2 linked regions of the Oryzias latipes genome follow. The protein of the gene in region 2 purifies or fractionates together with the protein of the main gene of each other region. This does not show direct contact. Links are inferred from orthologs where the notes say so. Each region holds a gene or a part of one and is shown on either strand. Other genes may lie near its edges. The genes, in order: ubiquinol-cytochrome-c reductase complex assembly factor 2 and ubiquinol-cytochrome-c reductase complex assembly factor 1.

Region 1 (4,422 bases), about 5.4 Mb from region 2:
CTGATCTGAATTTGGGTCCAAATTCCCTCAGTCCTCCTTAACTCCCAAAGACCTTTGGTGCACAGCTATCCAGTAATACAGTTCAGACATGTGCTCACTAGTTTTTTATTCTTTGAGCCCTAAATGTGTCACCCTTTTGCCGAAGTGAAAACGCAATGCATTGTGGTCTATATTCGCCAATGTAGTAAGCATCGATGCGCACTGAGATTTTTGGGAATTTTCCATGGCGCAGAGTTTGGAATTGAAGATCTGGATACCCAGCCAGTGTGGCGTTCTAACCGGGTAGAGGTGACAGGAGTCTGCCTCTGCCTCCAGTGAATTTACAACCTGTAGAGTTAATGGAAGCACACCAGGTCACAAAGAGAAACTTTATTTCTACACAAGCACTAATGGGAAAAGGTCATTTAAGAGGTCAAAAGTTATTTTTCAGGAGCTTTTTCTGGAACGTCCTCCGTTTTGGAGGAGAACCTCTCCATTAATGTCTTCCACAAGCCCTTCTTTTCTTCATCCATGCTTTGCTGCATACTTCCTGCATTTGGAAAACAAAGCATTTTCCGTGTTATTCCCCCTTCATTGTGAGAAAAGAGCGGACAGTGAATGGTAAATTGGGAGTCCGTACCTGAAAGGAGGACTCGACACTCTTCAACCGTGACTCCGGTGAAGCTCGTGTCTCTCACCCGAGGAAACTGAACAAAGCGGAGATTACAGTTTTAGTTTTTATTCAAAGCCAGGACAAACAAAGAAGCTCTTTGGATGATTTGAAAAATGCCATTTGAATGTATGAGTTTTCTTCTCTGGTCAAACAGTGGTAACCAAGGTGCTCCAGCCATCCGAGGAGCTCTGGGTCTCATGTTTTCCATATCGGTCAATTGAAGTTTACTCAAACATTGACCTTGTGTGGCCTGCTTTAAAAGTGATGAGACCTTTGGTCTAAATATGGGTTTATGACCATCGACATGGAGGAAGGGAGCAGAAAGGAGGTCACAGCAGCAGCAGAGGCAGGTTTTCATGGAACAGCAACAAATTTTAACGTAAAATAAATGAGGAAGCTTGAGGATGTCACTCACTTTTTGTTTGTATACGTTGCCATTAATACGAGCCAAACTTTCATACATCTGGTCACATTTGTCTGGATCTGAAATCTAGAGAGAATGAAAATGCATGGTCATGAAAAACCAAACAGAGGAAAGACTTGTTTAGATTATCCAACGTCTGATGGTTGTGGGGTTTACAGAGAGCAGGAATTTGCACGGCCAGTGAAAACATGTTGCTATGTGAATACTTTGGGTCATAATATATAAATGTACTTTTGTTAGATAAAAGGATTAAAAGGAAACTAGACTTTCAATTACAAGGACTAACAAAGGAAGGAGCCTGGTCTATAAAATTCTTAAAGGCCAGAAAGAAACCAAGAATCCATCTCAACATGTTCTGGGTTGTCGATTTTGCTTTATATGATGAATTCAATTTGGATTTACACTCTAAAAAGAAAAAGGTTGATCCAACCTAATTAAATTAAGTTTGTTCAACTAAAATTTTTATGGCTATCCAACTCAATTTGAAAAGTTGATCCAACTTAAAAAAAAAATTCAATTTTGTTTATACAATTTAAATTGACACATTTTTCTAAAGTTTCAACCAATGTCATCATGACGCGTTGACAGCTTCACACCAAAGTTACACCAACTTAATTGAAGTAAGTTGATTGAAAGTAAAATAACTGTCAGACAACTACGTGTTATTTTTAAGTTGACTGAACTAAAAAAAAAATATTTATTTTCACCAAACTAAATAATTAAGTTACAACAATGTAAAAAAGTTCATCTTCACTCTTTTTGGAGTGTACTTTTTAAGTTATTTTTTTATTTTTTTTGTAAAACAATTTTTCAGAAAGGCTGATACTATTCACACGTATGTCATGCATGTATTTTAAGTGCGTCCAACTTAGGATTCTGTTGTTTGCTGCACATATTCATAAAAATAACATCCAAATAGACGATTTCTTTCTGGGCTATCTGGTGATAAAAAATTCAAGAGATTTTTTATTATGAATTCCTTTGTTGAAATCTGAGAAAATTCCTTTTGGATTTTTTCCTTAAAAATACAAAAGGGCGTTTTAAGAGAAATAAATCATCAATATTTCATGCATAAGACTTTTTAATAATGTGTGTAAACCACAGCAGGTCACATTTTAGCCTGATAATGGCACTCTTCCCACACTATATATAACTTTTCTTTACATGAAAAATAGTATAAGCCCAGTTACAAATATTTGTAAAACAGTTTTGTGATTTCTTTTTCAAAGTGAAAGACTTGTTCTTTAAACCTGATGTCATTGTCAATAAATAAAACAGTTTCACCATATTTTGAAATAGTTTCAGTTATAGTTAGCCTGCTGAACAGATTAAAAGTAAAATTACATTAACCATAAAATCAACAATAAAGAAGAGTTTTCAAACTTTAACTTTTCACATTTAAATCCGTTTAATAATAAGTGTTTGTTGAAAAGACAAACTCAGCCATTGAGAGGCGAAGAAAAGGACTTTCCGGTACATTTCTGCATAAATGATACTTCCAAATATATATAAATATGTGTCGGTTCATGTTTGTTTCAGTGGAAGAACATTTATGAAAGACATTTCACGTGCATCAACAGCCGGGTCACCAAGGTCGTCAGCTGATGGCCATATAATCTTAGCTCAGCTGCTAAGAAGCTAAGCTAAGAGCCTCTACCTGCGTGTTTTCACCCTCGCGAAACGCGGAGGCGACCCTCTGCCGCAGGAATGTGCCCAAATCGCGACCTTTCTTTGTCTCATCTCGAGGCCATTCCTCGCACAGTTTCAGAAACCGTCGGTACCGAGTCGCAGACATCCTTAATCACGTAACAGCGCAGTAAACGCCGCCCGCTTTGAAAGTTTGGGCTCCGTTGCTTTCCGTACTGGTGTTACATCTAAACTCTTCCTCCCCGTTTGACCCTTCCTCATCCCTGACGCCGCATGTTAGCAAGATGAGCGGAGCAGGTGCGAAAAAGAGCCCTTCCACTGGAGTGATGGGTTGGATCAGCTCCTCGTGTCGTTTTGTAACGGACAGAAACGATTTTAAAAGGTAAGAATGTTGCAGTTGTTCGATAAAAACTGTAGGATTGCTCATTAGCGCCGCGCTAGCTAGCTGGACTGGAGCACAACCTCGCAGTGCTCAGTGTTAGAGACACGCTACAAACGAGACATAAAAATACATGATGATCGACAAAAACTATTAACAGAGGACTATGTGAACATGTATACAGTTGGTTTGTTATGTATATGTGTGACAAACGTAGCTTTTGCACAAATAAACGTGGTTATTATTTACTATTTTTTTAGGTTTGAATCTTTTAATAAACAGTTTTAAAAAGCATTTCTTGATTTGTAGATTTAGTTGCACTTAGATTTAATTCAAGTTCCAACAAAGAAAGTTGTCCATAAATGTTCTCCAAATGGGATTTTGTGAGCAGCAAATCCTTCTGAGAGAGAAGAAGAGTGAGGTGAAAACAGTGAATCAAGCAAAAATGTACCTAATTTTCTTTGAGTCTGAGGTCAATAACCTCCATGCATTAACATTCACGTCAGTTTAATGTTTAGTCAGGACATTTTTAGTTTCCTTTCCTAAAATGACACTGAATTCTACCATTTTTTAAAGCTAATTTTAGACGCCAAGCATTTTGTTAAAATGACAGAATGCAAACAGTGCTTTCAATTTCTCTACTGCTGAAAAGTTAAACTAAAGATTAATTCAGCCATTGAATGTTGCACCAAAACTAACTACTAACGTACAAGCTAAACAGAAAATGAAAGTTTTTCTAAATAAATAAATGAAACAGAATGCTTACCTGTTCCTTCAGTTCCATTTAAACACAAAGCATTAATTCTACAGTAAAATTCTAATGTTTTCATGTTTTACTGAACAAACATGAAATTGACAAATAGGGCTGAACGATAAGGACTGATGGCTTAGATGCAACGTACAGAAGAATATCTTCAAATAAGTTTCAATGAAAGAAAAGCGACACTGAATTCTCCTCTGTCTTCAAATCAACAGTTGTCATGTGTTTGTCACGTCAATTCAGCTGGAAATTGTTGTATTCATATGAAATTATCAACAGCTTAAATGTATTCAATACTTTGGCTTATTGTAAATATCCACACAATGAATCTATAGCAGTGGGATATCGATTACAAAGTTCACTTCTTGTCTGAAACTTGTGCTAAGTGGATCACCGCTCCCTGCTTTGGTTGATGTGCATTAAATGTTTTTTTCCACATAAAGCCTCCTTTTTTGTGCATTGAATGAATGTTTACTTCTTGAAATGATATCTGTGTTTTACAGGAAGCAGGACTCTGAATCATCAACGGGAGCTAAATCTTGGTTTCTTTTTTTCAGGAA
Region 2 (3,818 bases):
CTGCATGTTGGATGTGTGCAGAACAGCATAGTCACTTCCTCCGTCAACATGAAGGTGTTGAGCGTAAACTCATTTGGGATTAAAACAGTTGTATTGCTTCTGAAAGTCAATCAGAACAGTTAATCAGAACAGCTGAAGTTAAACTCAACACCGTACAGCGGCGGTCACACCCACACCTGAGGACAACAGCACGGGACAATACTTTTCTGGATTTTTCTTCCAGACCGTGATGCTGTTGACTTTTGCTAGAATGAGTTCCACTTTTGAGTTAAGAACATACATACATACATTTATTATGAGGAACAAACTCGAGCTGCACAATGATATGCGTAGCCGAGCGGCTAACCAGGCTGTCCTGGTTCTTTCCTTATTTTTAAGTCATATTTTTTCTTTTATTTTCTTTCTTTTTCTCTTTGTTGTATTTTTTCAAGTTGTGTTTTTTCCGTAAATTCATCGTTCTGGCTCATGAGGAGCTAAAGAAATATTCCAATGTACTTTTTTTTAAACACGTTTTTAACGTGCACTAATGGCAGTAAACTCTCGTCCTCTGAAAATCTGCTGCTAAGCCAAAGCAGCTGATCCTGACTCCCGTGTTTCTGCCAGAGTTGCAGGTTTAACGCTGTGGTTGTGTCTCTGTTGGTCTTGCAGATAGATGCTGTTCACAGGAAGGAGGCCATGAAAGCCATGACGGAAACCTTCTATGCAGCCATATTTGGATATGATGAGGTGCTTCATGCATGAACAAACACACTCCATACTTCTGTGCTAAAGTTTGATGCTAGCTTGAAGCCATGCGGTGTGCCTGGTTCTGCCCGGTTCTGGTCTGTTCTGACGGTGTTTGTCTGATCAGGGAATCCTGTCTGATGACTGTGTGCTGGCTGCAGCTCTGTGGAGAAACCTGTTCAATCGACAGTGTGAAGACCCCCGACAGCTGGAACTTTTAGTGGAATATGTGCGCAAACAGGTGAGCTGCTCTCATTGGCCGACTGATCCTCAGGTAGAAACCGTTCAGATTCCCACATTCTACATTTTTAAAAATGAGAACATTTATGAAGTTCAGCTTTTCAGTCTTGATTAACTCAGCCACTGTTTCTTGCTGGCTGTAGTTTGTGCTGTGACATAACATCCAGGGGTTGACAGATTATCGTTCAGGGGCGATGATCGGCTGATATTTGTTACGTGGCAATCTGTCTTTTTTAATCCGACAGGGCGAAATTAAACTGGTTATTTTGGCTCAGGTGCAGCCGTGCCCGTCTGTGCCCAGCCCGCGTGATCCGAATGGTTTTGCGAACCACCATTTCAATCCTCTGCATGTCACGCTACAAGCAACCAAGGCTGTGACTTTTAACAAAGAAAATTTAAAAACATTTCCAACATTTATCAAAAATTGGATTTATTCACAAACAGCAGGTCAGAAAGCTTCAATATTTCTAAGAATTTCAAAACCACTAATATGAAAAAAAAACAAGTGTATTTTGGTTTATTCATGTTTTGTTACATTATGAGACAGGGCCTGAGTAACTTAATGTAAGTTCATTCTGTGATGGTGCTTTCATTACATGTAAAATTAAATGTTTTTACTTTTTTGTTAGTTTGCTAACATAGTAATATACATTTTTCACAATAGAACTGCATCATTCTTCATTTTTTCCACCCCCAATAAATAAAGTTTGGATCAGCTGTAGTATTCACTTTAAAACTTGTTCCCATTTCTTACTGAACGGAAAGAAAGTCTGGATTTAATCTGATATTTGCAGCTCAAAGCACTTTACAATGAAGAAAAAAAACATTCCATTCCATCCATCCCTCCCTCCCTCCCTCCCTCCCTCCATGCTTATCCGGGACCAGGTCGCAGGGGCAGCAGTCTAAGCAAAGATGCCCAGTCTTCCCAGTTCCTCCAGCCTAGAGATGTAGTCTCTCCCCCAGGGGCCTCCGCCCAGTTGGACATGCCCGAAACACCTTCCAAGGAAGGTGCCCATTAGGCATCCGGACTACATGCCCAAGCCACCTCAACTGGCTCCTTTCGATGTGAAGGAAAAGCTGTTCTTATCCGAGGTCTACCTTGGGCAGGGAGACTCCATCCACAGAGATGGCAAACCCCCTTTCTCCGGTCGAGAACCATGACCTCAGATTTAGCGGTGCTGACCCTCATCCCTGCCGCTTCACACTCTGCCGCAAACCGCCCCAATGCATGCTAGAGGTCCTGGCTCAATGAAGCCAACAGGACAACATCTTCTGCAAAGAGCAGGGAGGAAATCCTGTGGTCCCCAAACCAGACCCCCTCCTCCCCCTGGCTGCGCCTAGAAATTCTGTCCACAAAAACTATGAACAGAACAGGTGAAAAAGGGCTGCCCTGCCGTAGTCCAACATGCACCGGGAATAGGTCTGACTTATTGCTGGCTAAGCAAACCAAGCTCTTGCTCCGGTCATACAGAGACTGCGGAGCCCTCATTAAGGCTCCCCGGACCTTATACTCCCAAATCACCCTCCACAGGATACCCTTCTTAAAAAGGGGAACCAACACCCCTGTCTGCCAGTCCAGTGTTACAGTTCCCGACTGCCACGCGATGCTGCAGAGACGTATCAGCCAAGACACTCCCACAGCATCCAGAGACTTGAGGTACTCAGGGCGGACTTCGTTCACTCCCGGAGCCTTGCCACTAGGGAGCTTATTGACTACCTCAGTTACTTCAACTTGGGTAATAGACAGCCTCACCCCAAAGTCCTCATTCTCTGCTTCCTCAAAAGAAGTCAGGGATATTGACCGGTGCTCTCCCAACCGGCCCCGGTCGGGCTCAGTCCATACCCGTAGGAGACTTTAAAAGGGACCGGTGCAATGAGGTTTGGGTGGCAGTCGAAGGCGGGTGCCTCGGCGGCCCAAATCCCGGTCATGGAACTTGGCTGTTGGGACATGGAATGTCACCTCTCTGGGAGGCATGGAGCCTGAGCTTGTGCGAGAGGTTGAGAGATGCCGTCTAGATATAGTCTGACTCACCTCCGCACATAGCCTGGGCTCTGAAACTCAGTCCTTAGAGAGGGGTTGGACTCTCTACCACTCTGGAGTTGCTCATGGTGAGAGGTGGCGGGCTGGTGTGGGCTTACTGGTGAGCCCCCATTTCAGCCGCCAAGTGTTGGAGTTCCCCCCCGATGGACGTGAGGGTCATGTCCCTCCGCCTTTGGGTGGGGGACAGGTTTCTGACTGTGGTTTCGGCTAATGGGTACTCCGAACATCATTTTGGAGTACACGACCTTCTTGGTGTCTCTCGAAGGCGTACTGGAAAATGCCCCAACGGGGGACTCTACTGTCCTCCTGGGGGACTTGAATGCCCACGTTGGCAAGGAAAGTGGAACCCGTAGGGATGTGATTGGTAAGAATGGCCTCCCTGATCTGAACCCGAGCAGTGTTTTGTTATTGGATTTCTGTGGCCGTCATAGTCAGACTTTCATCAGGACACCCTAGGCAGAAGGTCAATGATTGACTTTGTAGTTGTTTCAGGTGACCTTTGGCCTTGTGTCTTGGACATGCGGGTAAAGAGAAGGGCAGAGCTGTCCATCGATCCCTACCTGGTGTTAAGTTGGATTCACTGGCGGAGAAGGTGGCCGGAAAGTGTAAAATGTAAAAATGTAATGGCTTTTAGCAGCTGAGTAGCTCAGTTGGTAAGGTGAAGGATTGGCACGCAGGAATCCGGGTATCAATTGTCGGTGGGAAAGAGCAAGCAATGGTAGTGGTGTGGGCTAACATCCCCCAGTGAGGGCCCTTGGGCAAGACCCTTAACGCTACTGTGAATGTGCATGAATGATCCCAGTGATGGTCAGAG

Evidence for each region.
Region 1: the proteins of ubiquinol-cytochrome-c reductase complex assembly factor 1 (region 2) and ubiquinol-cytochrome-c reductase complex assembly factor 2 purify together in Homo sapiens (co-immunoprecipitation; 3 studies listed by BioGRID and IntAct, counting the BioPlex papers as one, with this or other methods). This does not show direct contact. The link is inferred for Oryzias latipes from reciprocal best matches to the Homo sapiens genes UQCC1 and UQCC2.

The regions. Positions count from the first base shown.
Region 1 is NC_019863.2:645,465-649,886, reverse strand, and holds ubiquinol-cytochrome-c reductase complex assembly factor 2, read right to left. Parts: upstream 3,008-4,422; 5' UTR 2,872-3,007; coding exon 2,734-2,871; intron 1,143-2,733; coding exon 1,068-1,142; intron 687-1,067; coding exon 620-686; intron 530-619; coding exon 420-529; 3' UTR 355-419; downstream 1-354.
Region 2 is NC_019863.2:6,000,323-6,004,140, reverse strand, and holds part of ubiquinol-cytochrome-c reductase complex assembly factor 1, read left to right. Parts: intron 1-648; coding exon 649-726; intron 727-850; coding exon 851-964; intron 965-3,818. UniProt on the Homo sapiens protein: Required for the assembly of the ubiquinol-cytochrome c reductase complex (mitochondrial respiratory chain complex III or cytochrome b-c1 complex). Involved in cytochrome b translation and/or stability.